Lepisosteus oculatus: one gene and its partners. The main gene of each other region encodes a partner of the protein of the gene in region 3 in a complex. Links are inferred from orthologs where the notes say so. Each region holds a gene or a part of one and is shown on either strand. Other genes may lie near its edges.

Region 1 (7,517 bases), on a different chromosome or scaffold from region 3:
AAAATACAGAAAAATATCTGCTGTTCACGTGCAATTGCTTACTCTTTATTATATGATTATATTAGTATGACTATAACATTATATCCATATTACAATACATACAAAAAATGCACTCTCAAATCTATTTTAAAAGTTGAACTGTGGAATTTACACAAATATATATATATATTGGGAAAAGGACATTCAACTTTGAAATATAAATTTAACAACCTCGTATGAATTAGACCTGCAAAATAAGGCAAGAAGATTAATACAATTTATCGATGTCTGAAACAACCATTCTCTAGCAATGATGTTAGAGTTCACTTGTTTATTACTTTTAAATGGATAAAAGCAAAGCTATAGCTTGTTTTGTAAAAATCAGTTAAACATGAGTCGACAAATAAGACAGACTAATTTGATTCCACCTGGGGTGTGGATCATGATATTGCTACTACACAAAACACTAATCAAAGTACAAAGACAAATAAACAAGAACTTCAACATGTAGCCTGTTCAGCTGTAACTTTGAAGATTAAAGGCAGGGAGGGCTATGTTTTTATCTGAAGGTTTCCATGTTGGCCAACAACAATTCCCATATTTAACAAAACAACTGAATTAAATATATGCTAAAACTCCCAACATTGTGTAAAACCAAAAATGTATTTCAGGCTTACAAATCTTGTAATATTGCTCTTAAAATACACATAAAAAGGAGCAACTGAGGTCCAAGGCAAGTACAATACAACTAACTCCCCATAAGAATTGCCTCAAACGAACAGAAAACAGACATGTTGATTCAATAAATTTAAACACAAAATACTACATAAAAATGACATCAAACTCACAGGCGGAGGAATAATTGTAAATTATGAATGTTGTGTCTGTATTAGATATTTACCACGATGGAATTGTTTGGGAATATACTGTACTGTATACTGTAAAAACTTTGTTTTAAGTTATTTAATGTGATACTGTTTTAACATAGTCTTACATATGCTTATCCAATTATTTTAGTTCTAAAACTAGCCTTTCATGGATATTAGTAGATGTGCATCTTTTTATTTAATTTTTGGGGGTGGATGTAACGCATATATCAAACGTAATTTTAAAAATTGAACTGTATGTAGTAATACATTTACGTAGACCATCATAGCTGTTTACTACATGTTGACATCCATAAGATATTAATCCTTGAAACTCACAGTGCCTGAAATGGCAAATTATTAATTTTATGCTTTACTAAAAAATAAAATCCTTTTGACATTTTGAAATGTTTGTGCATTATACGCTGCAATAACACAGAACCAAAAGAAACCCGTTTTAACTCACGCCGCTATATCAATGATCTAACTGCATTACTGGATGCCACAGGCGATGGTTTCAGGATAAATTAAAGCAGAAGACTATGAAGTTTGGCGTAACTCTAATTGCTGTTTTATTTATTTTTTCCAAGATAACCGCGGTTGTGGAACTACATCGCGCTAAACAGTGCTGAAGACATATCGTGCTCGTTTCAGGTGCCTCTCTTGGAAGCATTAGGTTCTTGTATAAAATACACTTGTATTACAGTAATTCTACTTTTATCATTGAAAGTAAGAGTGAAATGACGTTACGTACCCCAGGGCGATGTTCGAAGTAAGCCAGTTCATCTTTACTTAAAACGAAATATCTTTGTTTGTAATTGCAAGGTGAGGTTCTTCGTTTCTGCTGGGATTTCTTGAAAAGAAACTCTTCTAAAATGATTTGTCTATTCATCCTAAAGAAAATGATCCTTCATGGAGAAACCTTTTACTAGAGTCGAAAGAGAAGAACCGAGACAGTGTACTGTTAGTTTGGTATGGTGCTTACACAATAAAAAAAATGCAATGCACTATCTTCACAACAATCAAGAAGTATATGAGGTACTTAGTTTCCGGCAAGGCAGCAGGCAAAACCACTTCCTTCTGAATTCTGTTCGTAAATTAAAATCTTTCCAGAAATAAACCGAGTTTTTAAATGTATATATACATTTACAAATCCAAATATACACGTACAGAACTAGAGTTTATACAATTTTTGGGAGTGGAACTGAAAGCTGTAACATATGAATACATTTGTCACTTTAAATTATATCCGTGCTACGTACAGTAGTGACAGTACAGACATCTTAAATTATAAATAATCCCTTGGATTATGAGTCATCTGTCCACCCACTGATTTGCATCACACAATTATGTATCCCACGAATATTTAAACACATTTAATGATATAAATAGGTAAAAAAATAAATAAAACGGGGATAATAAATTATGTTTTTAAAATGAAATCTCCTCGCGTATACTTTTTGTCTTCCCACAAATGAACTGAAGACGTGTTTTGTTTCTTATATTTCACAAATTAAGAAAAGGTTAGCATTTTTTTTTTACTTTATGAACACTAAAGAGTTTACACAGACAAAATGAAAAAAAAAATCTACAAATTAACCACTTCCCAGGTAATGTGAAAGTCAACATTTGTACTCCTGGTTCGTCAGACTCAAAAGCATCAAATCAGTTATCTGAATCTATAACCATGTCTTGAAGATGTGGCTCTCTTGCCAAAGTGCATTGGGCTTGTTTTAAATAAGTATATCAGCGTTGGGCTTAACTCTTTAATATTGTAATTCTGGCATGTTCCCATTTAGGCTCAGAAAAAAAAGAGGCGAGGGACTTACTCTTTAGCTCTCTTATTGGCATACTGTAAGTATAAGATAGCTTCTCTACCAAGAAGAAGTCTGCAGCAGAGCAACAGCTCTCACTTACCCAGTCTCAACCTTGATGGTCTCTCCTCCAATTGGATTCCCTCTTCCAGACTCACACACGGTCTTATAAAACACATTGACATGCATACAGAACTGATCAAGTCGACATAAATGCATTAAAAGTTACTGAACAAGAATCAGTCCATGGAATCTTCCTGTAGGTACTTAGTTATATCATCTCTCTAGATCCTGACTCTAGAGCCAAGCCAGGTTTTTCCCAGTTTGCAGGTTCCCTGCTTCATTAGTCCCGCTGTTGAGATAGCCATCCCCCTGCTGGCAATCAGTTGGATTAGAGGTCTTGGTGCATAACTGCTACAACCAGGATACAGAAGTGGTTGGTGGCAGGTGTTGCACGTGGTCTGCTGGACCTAGAAGTCCTATAAGCTGGAGTCCAGCTGTTGACCCCTGCTCTTGGTGGAGGAGCCAATGTCCATATAACAGGGATCTTAGCTGCCCAGGTTTGGGGGAAGTCTCCTTTAGCTCAGCTGGCAAGTTCCCTTTAGTGTGACACCAGAGACACGGGTTCGCGCCCAGGCAGTGAGGGACCAACTGGCAGGTCAGGAGCGGCTAGGGCGGAGACCCCAAGAACCCCACACCTCATAAGGCAACACATCCCAGAACTCTCCATAAACCACACTGGACAGCTGTTCAGTGTGGGTCCCTCCCAGAATGCCACAAACACGGGCTATTGCCCCTCCTTCCTGCTTCCTGTGAAGCAGTACACCTAGACCTGCTCACAAAGAGTAGAGTTCTGGCCCCCATGATTAGATAAATAGAGGAGTTTCTTTGCCATATGTACGTGTACTTTGGGATTCTTACTTCAGTTCTCTTAGGACATGCACAGTGCAACCGACAACACCACACAATGTGGACAGTACATTACAAAACAGTAAATAATAAGCAGTGAAAGCATGTCCAGACAATAAATAAATTATACTGTTTCTGTTTCACCCAGTCCTGAGACAAGTTCACAAACTCTCAAAGTTGAATGTCCACGTTTTGGTAGCCCCCCAAACACCAGATCCACTGGGATGTGCAGCTCCTATAAGAAAATCATAAATGGAACCCTGAATTACATAGTTCAAACAGCAACATGCAGAACTGACACAGACCTTGACCCAGTTGTGGTCGAGAGAGCTTAAACAAGCAAGACTCAGTGATATGGTCCAGCACATTTGTCCGAAGAAGTGGGTTTGATTTTTCTTTTCATGTAGGGTTTGTCAGATCGTGGCACTAGTCTACACAGAAGACAATTTCGAATAGTTTTTTTTTTTCGGAAACCAGTGTCGGAATAACCAGGTTCTTTCCAAGGGTGGTTAAACTCAGTTATTCAGTTCCTTCATAGGACCGCTTCTCCTATGAAACCCTGCACTGTGTATTTTTCTCGGGGTGGAGGGTGATATCAATTTATAATTTAATTAGTAAAGACAGCACTTCTAAACTGAAACCCACGCTTGGGCCAGGCTGAAAAGCAGTAGAATAAACTTCCATTTTTATTTTATCAATTTTTTTAGACATTTCATATAATTAGTTGTCAATTTAAATACATTCCCTTCCGATCGCAAACTATTAGTAAAGTATTGCAAACTATTACCCTACTATTACTTCTCCGCCTACGCCCGCGAGAGGGAGGTACTCTCGTAGCCAATCGGATTTTACGTTATTAAACGCGTTACGTCCAATAGACTTTGCTGATGAATCTGGAGAGACTGGAAAAGCCAATGAGATCCAAAGAGGATCGAGACGGCTTCCAGCCAATGGCGCCTGGGCTTCCCCTGTTGTGCAGGAAGAGAACCGAGCGTTGTTGAGAGAATGCTAGATGTCTTCATCTAATATATTCAAGGGATTCAATACCCATTTGTGAATGCTTCAGAAATAGAAAATTATAAAGTCGACGAACGGTAGGTAGGAGTTTACCCTGCGTTTTTGTAAAAAGTGACATATGTACAGGTAGTGTGGGTGAATGGAGCGTGTCCCACTGAATAGCAGTCATATCAACAGCACCAGCACAGTCCCTGTTTTACTTTTGTAAACTGTTCGCTGTAAATACATTTCATTTTTAAATTTGGCACATTGGTGTCTTCGTGGTCCATACGGCTAGTTGTAATGTTTATAAGGTACATTTAACAAAAATATGCGATGTTGTAAGCCCCTTGTTTTCGTGAGCGCTACACAACGAATGTGGTGTACAGTGTGTCCTTATCCTGCAAGATGCTTTTGGATTGGTCTCGAAGATTAATATTTTGATGCAGGCATGTCTTATTTGGCAAGTGTTGTAACTTCAAATATTTTCAACGTAGTATAAACAAAAGTAAATGCTACATTCTGCGGGTTTTTTTAGATCGTCCGGGACTTAAATATAACCTAAAAAAAAATTGTTGTAGATAGATGGTCAGAGCCGATTGCTGAAACATTTTTCTCATCATTTTATTGTCAATATGAACTGATTATTCGTTAAAATAATCACACGCCCAATACTCATACATTGGAGTTTTACTTTACCATACGTTTGGGTTTAATGTTATGGAGTACATTTATGCTATTGGCAACTGTTGATCAGAAAGTGTTAATTTTTCTCCATCTTTATTAGGTTTGTGCAACAACTTTGCACATACGTTTATGTTTAGTTGCATTTTCCATGAGCATTGTGTGTTTTTTATTCCAAAACAGCTTTTTACACTGTATTTTGTCTTAAAGCAAGTTATTTCAGAACCGATCTGCATAACAACGTGGTAAACTAGTGCTGTTTAGCAACACGAGAATGAGTTATGTAGTTGCATAGCAGAGTTTTAAAAAAAAAGCTGCTGTCTCCACAGGTTCCACCATGGGCGAGCCACAGCAGGTCAGTGCCCTCCCCCCGCCACCCATGCAGTACATAAAGGAGTATACGGACGAAAATGTCCGGAAGGCCCTCGCCCCCAAGCCCCCGCCGCCCATCAAGGACACCTACATGATGTTCGGCAACCAGTTCCAGTGCGACGACCTCATCATCCGCCCCCTGGAAAGCCAGGGCATCGAGCGCCTCCACCCTGTTCAGTTTGACCACAAGAAGGAGCTGAAGAAGCTCAACATGTCCATCCTGGTGAACTTCCTGGACCTCCTGGACATCCTGATCAAGAGCCCCGGCAGCATCAAGCGCGAGGAGAAGCTGGAGGACCTCAAGCTGCTCTTCGTGCACATGCACCACCTGATCAACGAGTACCGGCCGCACCAGGCCCGCGAGACCCTGCGCGTGATGATGGAGGTGCAGAAGCGCCAGCGGCTGGAGACGGCCGAGCGCTTCCAGAAGCACCTGGACCGGGTGGTGGAGGTGATCCAGGGCTGCCTGGCCTCCCTCCCCGACGACCTGCCCCAGCCCGAGGCGGGCACCGGGGGGCACCCCCGGCTGAAATCGGAGCCCATGGACGTGGACGAGGCCGGTGGCGGCTGCATGGTGGGACAGGCGGACAAAGAAAAGGACAAAAGGGACAAAACGTGGGACAAGGATGCGGCCATGTGCAGCATCATTGACGAAATGACATAAACTGACTTTTCCTTGTACTTTCAAATACCACATGGGTGTTTTTTCTCAAAGCAATGCGACACCGCATTGAAGCTGCAACATCAGGAGTTGTGAGAATAAAGATATGATATTGTGTGGCTAAAGGGGCTGTGTACTGTATGCTAAAATGTTGATGTCCTCTTTGGCTGCATGTTGAGAGCAAAAATAAGCAGAAGTCACAAGTGTCTAGGGGATGAACAGTTTGAGTATTGTGTTATCTGAGGCTATGCTGTTGTTCAAGCAGGAAAATATCTCAGGAACCTTTCGGAAATAAAAGTCACACTTTTGAGTGGACATTTCTCTTTTCATTGCGCTGCAAGCTTAAGAAAGGTTTGGTATCCAGTTGACCAAAGCAAGCTTAAGGGGGAACTGCAGTTCCAACTTCCCAGACCGGTTATTAGATCTCTGTAACAAAATAATTGCTGGCACAGAAATAGTTGACAAATTCCAAATCAAGCACAGAACCGTGAACTTTGTGAAATGACTGTGTAATCTCCATTGTTGTCACAAACCCTTGGTCTCGTCACGGGTGAGAGTTCTCGAGAACTGCGTGAATTGTGACGTGGGGTGGCCCTTCCTGGTCACTAGTCCCTGTCATGACTGTACAGTACTGTATGTAATGTGATGTGATTTCCGAGCGAATAAGTGCAGGTTGTGCAGCAGACGTTTCACCCCAGAAACGTTCCAACGTGATCTGCAAGCAGAGTTAGTAAGTAGTATTTGAAAGGAAAACCATCTTGAAGTCGACAGTAATATTTCTATGGGATTACAAGAGATGTTTTCACAAGTCTGCTTGTTTACAATGTGATAAGGCAGCTTCACATCACTGGACGTTTTGATGTCTTGTTCTGAATCGCCGAATATAGTGCTGCACATACCTGGAAATTTTGCCTATTTTGAGATGTAAATTAGAGGTATCACATGTTACTCTGTATATCTTACTTTTATTAAGGTTTGAAATGCACTCTTCTGTGCTTATTCTTTGTAACCACGAAATATAAAAATAGTGTTGCAGTTTGCTTTTAATATCGCAGCCTTTTTATTCCATTTTTTTTAGATTCTCATTTTAAACTTATGCTTTAGCACCTGTTCTAGCACCAATTTTATTTCAGTTTTGCAGGATTAGATGTAGTGTGGTCTCAGACTGATTCAGTCAGTGGAGCTACAGTTATTAATTGTTTTTTTTTTTTCCCCATCGAATTTTCTAAAAAAAAT
Region 2 (7,499 bases), on a different chromosome or scaffold from region 3:
GAATATTTGTCAAAATCATGTGAAGAGTTTAATATCTTAAAAATAGAAGGTTTAGCCAATTAGGCAGCGCTGATCTAATGCTTTTGGATGTGACTGAAGTTTAATTGCATGCAAAGCAGGGCCAGAAGCAAACAGATGAATTCATTACATTAGCGTACAGTGAAATGTGAGGCATTCTTTCCCTGAAGATTTGACATATATGGTCATTAGTGGGCTAGCATTTATGACAGAAAAGGGAAAAGAAAACTGGCGCAGTAAAAGCAAAATTAACTGTTGTAGCAAAAAAATAAATCAGAGCCTGGGATGTCTGGGATTTCTGCATGGAATGATTAAAAGACGTGAGCGGAGACAATTGCAATCTGCCCAGACCTTCTTCTCCATCAGTGGGTTGGGCATCTACGAAGGACTATCCTACAATTGTTTTTTATTTAATTATCATTCTGCAGAGTGGATTAAACAGCTGTCATCACTTTCCATATGTGTAATATTTGGCACAGTAACATTGGAAATCTCTGTATAATTAGAATGATAGCACCAAGAATCTGCTTATCCGTTATGTATTTGACTATTTCTTGCGTCGAAATCATATCATAGTAAAGCTTGAACACTGATAAGTGAAAGACACACATGTGTTCTTACTATCATTCACAGTGCACATTTAATTATCTCAAGACATACAGAAGATGTCTGCAAATGTCTATAAAAGTATTAGCTCTTTTCTTCATCATGTATAATCAGCAAATCATTCAAAACATTATCGAAGCAAAGTAAAAAATAAACATTTTCACGGATAAAAAAACTAAATAGCAACATATTGTATATAATTAAATACATACAGTAATAGCAGTATGCTGTAGGGCATATCAAAGCATACATACAGTATATACATCTATACACATCTGCACATCAAAAGACTGAACCTTATGGAAAACCTAAAAAGACCCTCTGAAGAGAGCAAGCAGCTATGGAAAGTATATCTGGATGAATGTAAGAAAGCATACAAAAGGAGGTCCAGTTAATTTATAGAGATGCTGGTAGACTGTTGATCTGAATTTCAGCTTTGGCTTCTCAAAAACAAGGTCAGCTGGGTAGCTTGTTACACATTCGCATGACTTTTGAAAAGTGTGTCTTGTTGTCAGACATCTTCTTCTTTTTAATTTTTACTTGAGTCCCATTAGAATGAGTTGGTCAAATCCTCAAGGTAAAGATTGCCAGGACCTCTTGTGACCTGTTTTATTTAGCACTAAAGATATTTAGTTCCTCTAAGCTGTCATTGTGTGACATTCCTTCAAGATCAGTAATCTAGACACTATTCCCAGTCCCAAGCTGCAAAGTAATTTTTGTGAGGTGTCCACCAAAGTTGTACGTGGTATTCCAAACAAGATATGTACAGATTTTACAAAAATTCCCTTGATTTAAAATTTACCATCTTAAATCTGACTAACATTTTTTTTCTATTTTTAGCTCAACCTGAGCAGCAAAATGATGAGATTGGTTTTTTTTCATTCAGTAGATTCTTTATGTTATGTGTCCCTCTTCTTTTGTTTTTACTTCAGGTGTATATATTTACGAACTGCATGAAGTAATCCATCTGCCCTCTAATGAAATACCCGAAGGAGTGAAAGCATTTTAGAATTTAATCTGCTGCTTGTAAAGTTACTGCGACTCCTCCTGTTTTGAGTTAGAGGGAAAGCTCTTTTGCCTTTCCTGTAATAGGTCTGGCTGACTTGCCAAGACAATATCTTTCTCTATGCTGTATGTATGTTTTTCACATAGTCAAATAATTATTTATTTGAAACTTGGCAACCTTGAGCATTCACACTGCTTGTTGCTTCTACAATAAAAGATTAATTTTCTGTGCTGTGTAAGACATTCCTCCAAATCCTCAAACATTTTCAAAATCAACCTACCATTTGGTTGATATAACTCTTATAAACATTTGGTTTGTTATATTACGTTAAAAGCACAATCAAGTGTAATACAACACCCTACAATCTAGGTGTGAAAGGGTGGAGAGGCTTATAAAGACACAATAAGACCTAGTGAAACTCCAGGAAACCTTGAAAAAGACAAGTACATTTATGCACTGGGCATGGTAACGTGGTCCTATAGTGTGGTCAGCTTCACTTCCTTTCAGTTCCCAATTAACAGACTATTCATTTTAAAAGAATAAAAAAACGTATCTGTTCATTTTTAAGTTCGAGTTTTGAAGTAATATTTAAACCATTTTAAGTGTGGCCCTATTGTTGCTGGAAATAGACGTTGAATATTAACTGCTTATTGCTCCCAGGGAGATCTACCACAACTCCTACTAGCAGCACAGTGTCAGGAGAGGACGAGCAGTCCCTGTGATTGTTTTAAGCACTCAAGAGATTCTTTCCTCTTATGTCAGCTCTTATACCCATGTGGAAGGTGCAAAGGGCATTGTCTCCCCATAATGTGAATGAATCCGAAATGAGTTTAAACACCAACCTGCAACATCACACAATGTTTTTTCTCTGGTAATCGACGCTCAAAGATTTTGTGAGAATATGATTGTATTGAGGGGCCAGACCTTACAACAGATCCCTATTTTGTTTTTTACAGTGATAAGATTGCTTATTTCTTAATGCTTACGCGTCACATGTGACATATTGTGTCACATGCTAATGAACATGATCTCAACAGAGATGCTATTAAGAGAAATATGATTTGTTAAAAAAGAAAAATATATTTTTCCATATATCAGTACACCATAAAGTAATTTTGAATGTTTATATCTTCTGTATGCTAAACCCAGAACAGTGCTAGATGAACAGTAAACAGATAAATATTTCTCTCTTTAAATTATAATTTGAAATTAGACTTTTCTAATTTAAAGGGCAAGTTTTTTTTAAATATGTCTGGCTGTGTAGCAATTATCCCAGCGTGCAGCAACATTAATCATGCTGATGTTAACGATCACTTACACATATTTAATATGTAGACAAGACATACAGTACAGGTGAAGGTTGTACCCACTAGGAGTACTGAAGAAGTGTGCACCTGATGAGTGCTGAAGCAACTGACAGGTGTTGACAAATCCAATCAGGACTGGGTTCATCTCAACCAACCAGTCAGCCAACATTCATTCATTGATTCATTCATTGATTCATTCATTGATTCAATCAATCAATCAACCAACCAACCAACAAATCAATCAATCAATTTAAGTTTTATATGGTGCCTTTTACTCAAAGTATCTCAAGACACTTGACATATATGTCAGATCTGACATATATAAAGGGTCACACCCTGTGAACCACACTTGTGGCATTGTGAGAGGAATGTGCAAGAACAGCAGATCTCAAGGCTGTGATCTGGAACTCACAGATTTCCACTTCTTTGGTCTCTTAAAGAAGTATCTGTTCAGCAGATGAATTAAACCTAAAGTGGTAGGTTTAACTCTTTTCTCCAGCAGATTCAAGGATTTTCTATCTACTATATGTGTTATAATGGGACACATGCACAGACAGGTTTGGATATTATGTTTACAACATTTTCTGCTGTTTATGCATACATACCTCGGGAACTCTTGCCTTATTTGTTGAAACACCCTCATAGGAATAAATGAATGAATGAATGGAATCATGAAGGACTGCTGGCTGCTATATTTGATTCTGAACCAGGGCACCTTTTTATGAGGAGGGTTTCTCCCTAAATTCTCATGGGTTTCACCAGGTGTTCTGATCTCCTCTAACAGTCCAGGGACATTTCCAGATTAACGGGCATGAGGTGAGATTGTACATAACTATACACAACGATGGACTGACACTTTGTCCGTGGTGTAGCCCCATATTGTACTCTGTTTTTGGTGGTTTGGACTCCAGCTCACCATTAACCATTCATTGTCTGAATGAAGGATGAATTAGTTACTGAAATCAGATGGAAGAGTGATATGTAATCCATCATATGTAATTATCATTGAATAATTCACCTCACAACACCCCACACAAGGTATGTAGGTGATAAGATATAGCTTTATAAAACAGAATGCTATCAATATATGTTTAAATTAATAATAATATTCTCCTATAATGTATTGTATTATCGAAGGTGGAAACAGGACTGCAGGTTTGCAAGCTCACAGAGATGTATTGTCCCTAATATTCAAGTAGTGAGTGACAGTGAGAAAAAGAGAAAATAAATTGATGCAAACAGAATTAAAATTAAACCGGAATTTTGTGGGCACTTTAGGTGTGCTCTTGAGCATGGTACTTTACTGAAATTGTTTCATTAAAATGCATAGCTTGTAAAAATAGATTTAAAGTAAGCCGTTTTGGATAAAAGTTATATCTAGATAAAATATATTTAAAATCTTGTCCAGATTTGGAAAACATATCATTTGGATAATTATACATGCAATACATACGTTTTCATGCGTCTAATAGTCGAGGAATGCAAAGGAGCTTATCACACCGGACCTATTAAGCACAGCACAATGGGTTTTAGAGTAGGAAGGTTTTACATAGTGCACACGAAGTCGGAGTGATTGTGTCGTTGCACGTTAGGAAACCAAACGCCGGAATAATTACTTCGTTATTTTTTTAGGTTATATCCAGGTTTCCTGAAAAGAGAAAAGGAAAATAGTCCAAATTTCTACCTCGTTTTTTAAGTGATGGCAGGAAACTTCTGGCAGAGCTCACATTAGTAAGTCATTTTTGATTAAACAATATTAAACTACGGCGGTCTGTTAAATCTTTCTTTCCTTGGGGCCTAAAAGACCTTCAGTTTCATTAATATTTTTTTATCTGAAACTGGTTTTAGACAAAACGTGTTAAATTCAGGGCGATTTCATGCACTTAACACTTGTTTAATATCGAGATTTTACACTCGCGTTTCCAGTCTAACTATTTATCCTATCTTGTCCGAATAAAGTGTCTGTACTAATGAATTTCGAAATAACTTAGTAATTATTAACCTTCATCAGGCACTAATTCGATATAAAAATATTAATTTTATGGCTTCAGTGTTGTACTATATTTTTCTAAATTCAAAGTAGTTTTAATGATTTTTCTCTTATCCCTTGGTCACCAGTAGTATCTGTAATATCCTATTTTCTTAAACATGCGTGTGGTTTTCTGGCATGTTCTTATATGTGTTCTGCAACTGTTCTATGTATTGTCTTCATTCCTAAGTGAAAAAAATCATTGATAGAAACCCGACAGCACAAGACACAACAGATGTGACGTCATTAAGAGATTACATTTCACGAATAATGCAGAGGCCTAAAACGATTTGTGTCGCCTCAGATAGCTACCTTTTACATACCTAGTCGGTTTCTCTGGGTTTTAGTGTTGCAGAGCACGCAATCCAAGCGTGTATTTTTTATTTGTCCTTCCACAAGGTGTATCTGGCAACCAGCTAATTGTACAGTATATGTGTGTTGTTTCAGCATTTATTTTTCTCCTTTGCACACTGCTTGCTACATTTACTACCTCCCGTCCCTCGCCTTGGATAGAGCCTACTGCAGCATCAGGGTTCCTTTTTCTATGAGTGGTTTTGATCTTTTGATTTAAAATGGCGTGCAGCATGGTGGCACAGTGGTTAGCAATGCTGCCTTGCAGCACTGAAGAGCCCTGGGTCGAGTTTCTGGGCTCCTATCTGCGTGGAGTTTGTGTAATAATTAATTGCTAACCCTTACATAGCGGACACTCCATATCTGGGCACTCCACTCAAAGTGCTTTACAGGTAATGGGGTCTCCCCTCCACCACCACCAATGTGCAGCCCCACCTGGATGATGCGACGGCAGCCATAGTGCGCCAGAATGCTCACCACACATCAGCTATCAGTGGGGAGGAGAGAAGAGTAATGAAGCCAGTTCATAGAGGGGGATTATTAGGAGGCCATGACTGGTAAGAGCCAATGGGAAATTTGGACAGGAGATGGGGGTTACACCCCTACTCTTTTCGAGAAACGCCCTGGGATTTTTAATGACCACAGAGAGTCAGTACCTCGGTTTTTACGTCTTATCTGAAGGATGGCGCCTGTTTACAGTATAGTGTCCCCGTCACTATACTGGGGCATTAGGACCCACTAACACCTCTTCCAGCAGCAACCTTAGTCTTTCCCAGGGGTCTCCCATCCAGGTACTGACCAGGCTCACACCTGCTTAGTGTAACCCTGCGTGTAACAGGGATCTCAGCCTCCCGGGCTGAGGGAGTTCTCCTTTAGCTCAGCCGGCAGGTTCCCTGTTGTGTGGCTCTGGAGACCCGGGTTCGCGCCCAGGCAGTGAGGGAAGAACGGGCAGGACAGGTGTGGCAAGGGCGGAAACCCCAGGAGCCGTCACATTAGCTTCAGTGGGCTGCCGGTTGTGAGTTGCAGGGTGATATGGCTGCTGTCTGTATGTTCTCCCTGTGTTCACATAGGTTTTCTCCCACAGTCCAAAGACATCCTGGCAGGGTAGTTGGCCCTAGCGTGAGTGTGTGTGTGTCCTGCAATGGACAGGTGTACCATCCAGGTTGTATCTCTTTGTGCCCCTTGCTTGCCAGAAGATATGTGGTTGGATTTAACATGGCATAAATGCAAAACAGTTTGCTGAGGGTTTATGTAAAGCACAAAAGTATTTATGCTCTTACCTATCCCATTGTTAAATTGCAAAGTGTTTCTTTCTCTGTATATCACACAGTGCTTTTTAGTTTAGCATAGAGGGCATGGTTTATAGAATTGTTTAAAAAGCAGGGATAAGGGTTTTGGTGATGATGCCAATAGTATGTCTCAGACGACCTTGTTAAAGTGTTCCATGAGGAACAAATGGAACAATCCAGTCCCTAAATAGATAATCTAGTTAATTTTCCTGTAAGTATTACATTGAAAGCTTATCCAGTACCACATTTTTAATGAAGAATTTGTAAATACCTATTATGAAATGAGTTGAATACTTTAGTTGAAAAATTCCAGTGTTATGACCAGTTAACCCACTAACAGTACTTGACTGTGTAAAGGTTTATTCAAATGTCCAGATCCTCAGATAGTTGAAGTCATAGGTTCTCAATCATTTTCGGGCCCTGCATGAAGCACAGGCCCGTGGTGTCAAATTCTCCTGTGTTTGTTTCTGCTGTAGACGTTCTGATACATGTTCTAATCCTGTAAATGGATTGTCATTGGTGGTTTATTTCCAAATTGGTACATAATCAAGCAGTTGAGGAAGAATTTGAAAAATATCAAACCCTTTAAAGGAAAAAAAGCTGGCTATATCAGCTGCGTCTTGTCTTTTTTATGAGCGAGACTGTTAATATACTTATGTTGCCCTTTTTGATTGCCACTTTTTTGTCATTAGTTTGCAGTGGATCCTTGACAAACAGGATTTGATGAAGGAACGCCAGAAGGACTTGAAGTTTCTGACAGAAGAAGAGTATTGGAAACTGCAGATCTTTTTTGCGAATGGTACATTCTGTCAATAAGTTGATAGATGTGAAAGGGACATGATATTGCTGTTTTTCTTTCTGCTTTAATCTTTTTCTATTTGTGCTTCAGCCTT
Region 3 (7,274 bases):
GTTGTGTAAGCAGTACTCACGAGTTGTGTAAGCGGAAAACACTACAAATCCAGCTGCCTGTCAAATGCAAAGCCACCAGTACATTGAACACACTCAGTCATCAGGATTTTCAGAAATTGGATTTATTGTGTCTCCACTGCGTTTGAGGGTTGGTTGCCAAGTGGCATCATCTGTCAGACAGCAGCATGGAGTAGTGGATAAGGCCCTGCGTGCTAGGCTACAGGTGCGCGGGTTCAAATCCTGGAGGAAACATAGCTGCTGTACTCTTGAGCAATGTACTTTAGTCCGATTGCACCAGTACATGCCCTGCAGTATAAGTGGTTCTCCAGGTCATCATTGTACATGAAAATTTAATCTCAGCTGACTGACTTGTTTAGATCAAGTATTAAATTACAAGAATAAGATAAGGTGCGGGCTTGAATAGAATAGGAAATGTTCCTAAAGGGACCCTCAGCTGTTAGTTCATGGTGCCTACTGCATACCTCTTCCATTTGTTTTTGAGAAGCCTTGTCTGGCACTTTAAAATGCGCAATGCTTTTTTATGTTCTCTACCTCTGTTCCTCTCACCATCTGTCCTTCTTTTGCTCTCTTGCTTTCTCCTTTGTAGGTGTTTCTAATCTATGAGCACATGTAGTGATAACAGAACCATCCTGCTGCTTGCACGATCCACGCTGCTTATGTACGTACAGGATTCGAAATGTATACATACTGTACATACGTTACAATCCAAATAGTTCCGTGTTGTCTTTTTCCTGAAAGAAGCCTGAGCTCTGAAGTTAAACATCTCTGTCACTTTTATTTTGCAAACCACTCAGAACATTTGTTTGAAACATCGAAGCTGGTTTATGATTTTTTTTAGACATTTTCTATAGTCCTGTAATATCAGAGAAGTGAAATGTGGTGATCGAGGTGAAAACTGCAATGAGAGATCTTTCGAGTATTGTGACAGTTTGAGTGTTGATTCATCAGAATTCGTAACTGCAGATGTTGGGAAGCACACCTCAGAAATATCACAAACTGACATCAGCCATGATCTTTGTTATTGAAATTAACAAGTTGTAGATTTTGCAAGAGGAGGACAATAGCAAAGCCATGTCCTTTTTAATGCAGTTTATCTAGTCGTAAAAAAAAAATCTCTCATCTCATTTTTACATCTTCTCTGTGGTGTTGCACAATACAGATCTATTTTATGAGGGGAACACATTTAGAGAACGCCTAAAAGGGTTCTACAAAATTCTTTACACTTTTATAGCGCTTTTCTGGACACTCCACTCAAAGTGCTTTACAGGTAATGGGGATCCCCTCCACCACCACCAGTGTGCAGCCCCCACCTGGATGATGCAACAGCAGCCATAGTGCGCCAGAAAGCTCCCCACACACCAGCTATCAGTGGGGAGGAGAGCAGAGTGATGCAGCCAGTTCATAGACAAAAACACATTTATCCTGCTAACTTTTAAAATTCACTTAGAAGAATCAGTTTCTAATCAAGATTATTGATGATGTTAAACATGGGATGACATGCTATTTCCTGCATGTGCATAACCAGCTGTCCTCTACATTACAAAAGTTACAAACGAGAGGAGGCTATTTGGCCCATCAATGCTATGTGGTAGTTATAGCTAATTTTACCGGGGATCTCATCCAGGTATTTCTTAAAAGAAGCCAGTATTCCTGCTTCAGCAACTTAATTGAGTAGCTTGTTCCGTACTCCCACACCCCTTAGTGTAAAGAGAAGAGCCTCCTGTGCTCATATTTAAACGGACGTCCATGTAACTTCCTGATGTGATCTCTAATAAGAACATAAAAACTAAATATCTGAGCAATCCGGTGAAGTTGATATATGAATGTGATAACTCAAATGGAAATTTCAGAAAACACGCTGTATATACAACACTTTTCATTGGGAACAAATATGTGCTGCATATAGACAAAGTTAGATCAGGGAGAGGTGCTGGTGTGTGGCTCCAATGGAAGTTAAATTAAGGAGAAATAAAAAGAGCGAAAAACACACTGTTCTAACTGTGAAGCCCTTTAGAGGTGTGTGAAAGCTCCACACTTGAAATGTTGTGTATTTCATCTTTTCTACTGTTCAGAATTATGGAATTAACCTTGACCTGTTCCTATATGGTGTGGAGCTGTCTATATACAGTAATGTTGATGACCTTGACCTGTTGCAAGGAATAACAATGAACAGGCTGAAGAAGAGCCTCGTTCTGTGCTCTGTGTCGTCAATGACCTGATGTATGTGATGGCCTCAGTATTAACTCTACAAAGTGATTCGCAACAGGACTATTATACGCAAAAACAATTCAACACTGAAATCACAACAGTAGTCAATACTCAACTCTTCCACTCTGCTGAGCACTAAACCGCTTGAAAAACCTAGTAATGTAGCCTCAGCAGAAATCACTGCTTTCTGGAACATAGGGTCATAAGCGTATTACCTTGCATACAATGAGTATAGGTGTGATTTTACTATATTTTACTAAGGTTTTATAGATTAATTCAAACAATAATACACTACAATGACAAAGCAACATGGAACATACACAAACACAGATGTACCTAGTAGCTCGGCCTTGTACATAGTGTCAAGCTAGGTGCGAGCTGTCATAAAGAAAACTAATACACAAAACGACTGCCGATTCCAAGACAGTGTTGCTCTCCGCTCATTTAAGAATAAAACAAATACTGCATCTTTTTGTACAATATTTTGCAGTATTTCCTTTGTGAGCCGATACAAGGTCACGTACATTCTTCTTCGTTCGGGTGGTGCTGTGAAAACTAGCCAAGCCGAACATTTATTTTGACGTTTCTTGTGTTTTTCAACTTGACCCGCAGAAATGGTCTGGCTGCCTGCTGCACTTCTCGTTAATGAATTACATTCTATAACCCCGGTAACCTATCAAGCATGGCATTGCATGATAACTTACTTAATCACAGATAATGGGAAATACACGTGGAACAAAAAAAAAAAGATGGCAGCCAGACTACGAGCGTTAAGAACAGCACCATCAGCTCGCGAGCCTGGTGGGGCTGCTCAGAGTATTGTTTCACAGCCAGGATACAGACACCAAACCGGTTCTCAGGCCTGGCTTGTGGTTAAACAGGGTGAACACCAGCTTCTTTGCGAAATTCCCTGCTTCTCTATTGATCAGCCGAAGCTGAATTACCTGCAGACCTCGCTGACCTGGACTTCCAGCAGCACAGACAGGAGACAATCAGCTTATCTCGGCGGCGTCTTGTAAGGTTATTGTTCGGAATAAGAATGGCAGCACTACAGCTACACCGTCAACAACAGCACCAATAAATAATGAATTGGGGTGTCAAGCAGCAGTCTTCGAAGCCAGGGTCTACTGGATTTCATTCTGTTTCAAGTTCTTTGCATTTATTTTCTCCCGTGGGCATGTTCACAGGTTTTTTTTTTACAGTCATTTACAGCAGATGATTTAAACACTGCTCTCGAGGCAAGAAGCAACATCTCAGAAACACTCTGAATCCTGGAGAGAGTTGTGTGCGTTTGGTTAGTCAATAATGTTTGGCCCCGACAGGTCTCTGGGACCCCAGGGCGAACTGGAAACCAGATTTCTTGTATACAGGTTCTGGTACCAGACACATAATGAAACACAGTAACCTGAGGTAGAGCCATGCTTCGGTTTTTCCCCGGGAAGGGGGGGTGTAAAAAAAGTAGTTTATTGCAGTCCATTTGATGTTAGGAAGAGCCTAGTATTTCATCACCACAACTGAAATAAACAAAAGCAACCAAATGCATTATAACAACAACAACAACAACAATCAAAATAATAATAATTATTATTATGATTATGATTATTATTAGTTCAAGTAGATGGTTGTGTCAGCATGCATAGGTTGCAAAGGAACGAGTAAACGTTTACTCCATGCTGAAAAGAGAAGAAAAGAAGGCTCCCGAAGAAGACTGCACAGCCGAAACGTTGTGTTTCTTTTTTCTCTTTTCAGCATTCTTCTTCTTCTTATTATTATTATCATTATTGGCGTCTCACCCCTGACGCCTGTCAGAGCCCCCCCCCCTCCTAGCAGCTGCGAATGAACCGATTTTTATTTTACTACCAAAAACAACAATAACACACACACACACGCACGCACACGGGGTACCCAGGTATATAAATAACTGCGGCAGTGCGCCGTCGGCGCGCTAGGGGGCGCAGCGCCCGGGACGGCGAGCTGAGGGGGTCCAGACCGGTGGCTCAGCAGCGCCTAGCGGCCGGGCCCGTCACTTCCAGTCCTCTTCCAGCCCGCATGACCACGAGCCAGCCAATCGGCGCCGGGAGGCAGAGTTGTCCCTGTGGCCGCCATTAAAGAAAGGAATCCGTGAATTCAAATGGAAACCAGCAGGAACAGAGACCGAAATAATGGTTAAAACGACCGAAAAAATATAGTCCTCCACCAGCCTTCGATCGTCTTTTACAAGATGTTTTTCATTTTTAAACCGAATCCGGCGACGATGGAGGAATAGAGGGGCGATTTTTTTTTTAACCCAGACCGTTTTAACCAAAGGGGGAGGGGGAGAGTTGGGTTTTTTTTTTTGTTTTAAGAGCGTTTTCGTGCTTTTTTTTTCCCCGTTTTTTTTTTTTAAAAAAAAGAAAACGACCGAGCCTCACTCAAGGAGCGTCTCTTTTTTTTTTTATATCAGGCGGACGATGCGGAGGTGGCGGTGCTGTTTTTAATTTACGGCGGATTATTTTTGGGAAGGGGGAGAGAGAGAGAGAGTGCTGACGGAGGAGAGAATCTAAATGAGCTGTTGAATTACATTCCCCCGGCCGATTGTTTAAAACCATCCTCGGCGTGAGGTGTTTTTTAACGGGGGGTTTTTTTTTTTAAATAAAAAAAAAATCCACGCGCGTACAAAAAAAAAAACCCCAACAAAAAAAAAAAGAAGAAAAATTGTTCTTTCTTTCTTGGGAACTTGAAACGATGGAGTGGTCGATCTCGATGTGAAAGGATGAGTTCTTGCTTTGTACCAAACGGAGCGAGCCTGGAAGACTGCCATTCCAACCTATTCTGTCTGGTAAGAGATTTAAAACTAAAAGCAGCCATTTTTAACTAGCTGAGGGGAGAGAAAAAAAGAGCACAGTAGCGGGGAGCGCAGGCTTGGGGGCCCTGTCGAGCACTGCAATCCAAACACCGCTGATCAATCCCTCTGTTGCATTTGCATACTGCCGAAGTTTAAGGCCGGATTAAAACGGCATTTTGCGGGGGGCTGCGCGGCGTGGCGCGGTGTCGGCTCTCCCTCCGGGCCGTGGATGTGGTCTCGGCTGGCCGCCGGTGCAGATGAGGTTTGAGCGCTGCCGGCCAAAACATTTGATCACGGCTGTCTAGTAAACAGGCAGGTTTACTCAGGTCGTGCAAAGTTTCCTCTCCCCTATCTCTTCTGTCTCTGTGGCGTTTAAATCCCCCCCTCCCCTCCAACACACACACTCATACACACTCCAGTTATTTTCCTCCCCTGGCTTGGTTTTTATTTTCTTTTCCCCTCCCAAAAAGAAATGTGTTTCCGTGCGTTTGATCCGAGACCTTTCTGGTGCGCCGGTCCTGTATTTAGGAGTTACGAAGGTCCAAACTCTTCTGGGCGAAGTGTTTTGGTCGCGGCCGGGCCGTTTTGTGGAAATTAAATGCGCTGGGTCTCGTCGGGGGGCTTATCCACCCCCCCCATCAACTGGAGGGGAAGCTCGCCGGCCCGGTGGGGTTGTTTTGCGGGGTGCTGCGTCGGGAGATTATTTCTGATTTTTAGCCGTTAGTTTTGGTTTCATTTCTATTGGCAGGGAGGCTTGTTCGTTGCCGAGCAGACTTGTCATTTTTCGTTGTTTACAGCCTTCCCGGGGGTGTATAACTGGCATCTCCGGGTTGAGGGTGCCCTCGGCCCCTGATGCCCTATATTGGCCTGGAGGCTGTGAACTTGGGCTCGTTAGGGCACGACAACGACAACAACAACGGGGGGTTGAAGTTGTTTTAAAAAACAATTATGGAAGTAGCTGCGTACAGGTCTTTTAACTTTTTTTTTTTTTGCTCTCTTCCGTGCGCATACCTGGGTTTGTGGTCCGAGTCGAGCAGTGTGGGACGAGTTACGCAACTCGTCTTGCTGCTGTGGCAATGCATGGTCCTGTCCCAGATAAGACATTTACACCGCTTCATTCTGGGGGCTTGGGGGTCACGCCTCGGGTACGGATACGGGCTTTTAGAGACGTTTGGAGGCTTTTGAGTTTCGGTTTCTAGTTTATTATGTAAGAGGGTTTTGTTTTGTTTTTTTTGTGTGTGGCGTTTTCCGTATTCCAAGATGCCCAAAGCCGACGAGATGGGGGCGATCTAAGTGTCAGAAAGTGCAAGGCAGGAAAGTTTTTTTTTTTGTTGAAGTGCCTCTGGGAACTGTTGTTTTTCCTCGATCCCGCTTGATAGCTCATTAAACTGCATGGTTGAGATTCTCGGCTGTCCCCTTGGACGTTGCTTCGTGGTGGCCCCCCGCCGAGGGGTGGCTTTTTCCTCCTCACATGCCCTGCGTGTGATTGTGGCCCGTGCAGTTCTCGTGTGCGAAGATCACGCGTGACAGCGGGAGCCAAAAGCGAAGGAGCTTTTTTTTTTTCCTAAAAAAAAAAAAATCAGATCTAATTAGGAGGCATTTTCAATCAGGAGAGTGGTAAGGGATTGAGCCGGTACCAAATGTGCGTCTGAAGTATGAGTGATGGAGTGGTTTGGGGGTGCCAGTGGGGGTGTATGTGTTGTAAATGCGTGGAAGGGGTGTTGGATATTGATTATCCTCCCCCCCCCCCACACACACACACACATACCGGTGGTGTCCTGATTCAGCACAGGGGGAGGAGGGAAAAAAAAAGTTTCAGTTCGGGGGAGGAGGAGGTGACGTGCCAAGATATTGAACCGCAGCTGAAGGGAGGAAAAAAAAAAATGTCACAATAAAATAGACGCCGGGGCAGGTTTACTCGATATGAATCACTGGGCGAGATGTGTGTGGCGTCTGCCGTCGCGATGAGGCTGGAGGAAGAGCCGCGGTCGAGTCGTCGGCAATTGGCCCGCCGGTGGGTAATGGCCTGTCCCATTGAGCCCATCTACTCTGAAGGGCGTCCGTCGTCGCACACGCAAGCGGGACGGCTCGGAAAATTGCAGGAGCCGGGGAAGACATTTTAATGGGAGCGGGAGGCCGGCCGTGACAGCGCTGTTTACAGCTGTCAGGAGCCGTGAGTCACCCCGGCGCTGGCGGTAGCGGTAGCGGTTTGGACCAGCGC

Evidence for each region. The genes of interacting proteins can lie anywhere in the genome.
Region 1: med13a (region 3) and med7 share a complex: the UniProt entries of both Homo sapiens proteins name them as parts of the mediator complex. The link is inferred for Lepisosteus oculatus from reciprocal best matches to the Homo sapiens genes MED13 and MED7.
Region 2: the proteins of med13a (region 3) and ccnc are in contact, whole or in part, in a cryo-EM structure (PDB 8TQC), measured with the Homo sapiens proteins. The link is inferred for Lepisosteus oculatus from reciprocal best matches to the Homo sapiens genes MED13 and CCNC. Residues at the interface, in NP_005112.2 of Homo sapiens: Tyr1342, Ser1630, His1631, Val1732, Lys1733, Thr1734, Thr1736, Phe1738, Gly1739, Pro1740, Gly1741, Ala1743, Arg1897, Met1898, Ile1901, Asp1905; in NP_005181.2 of Homo sapiens: Gln7, Gln13, Trp14, Leu16, Gln19, Lys23, Gln26, Lys27, Arg75, Tyr76, Glu144, Leu145, Asp147, Cys148, Ser221.

Annotation. Positions count from the first base shown.
Region 1 is NC_090706.1:30,433,496-30,441,012, reverse strand, and holds med7 (mediator of RNA polymerase II transcription subunit 7), read left to right. Parts: upstream 1-4,506; 5' UTR 4,507-4,662; intron 4,663-5,577; 5' UTR 5,578-5,585; coding exon 5,586-6,284; 3' UTR 6,285-7,321; downstream 7,322-7,517. Other genes in the region: itk (tyrosine-protein kinase ITK/TSK), read right to left, coding at 1,600-1,737. UniProt on the Homo sapiens protein: Component of the Mediator complex, a coactivator involved in the regulated transcription of nearly all RNA polymerase II-dependent genes.
Region 2 is NC_090697.1:31,786,200-31,793,698, forward strand, and holds the start of ccnc (cyclin-C), read left to right. Parts: upstream 1-4,488; 5' UTR 4,489-4,636; coding exon 4,637-4,668; intron 4,669-7,298; coding exon 7,299-7,405; intron 7,406-7,499. UniProt on the Homo sapiens protein: Component of the Mediator complex, a coactivator involved in regulated gene transcription of nearly all RNA polymerase II-dependent genes.
Region 3 is NC_090721.1:4,737,720-4,744,993, reverse strand, and holds the start of med13a (mediator of RNA polymerase II transcription subunit 13a), read left to right. Parts: upstream 1-4,259; 5' UTR 4,260-4,981; coding exon 4,982-5,047; intron 5,048-6,232; exon of another isoform or gene 6,233-6,617; intron 6,618-6,821; exon of another isoform or gene 6,822-7,274. UniProt on the Homo sapiens protein: Component of the Mediator complex, a coactivator involved in the regulated transcription of nearly all RNA polymerase II-dependent genes.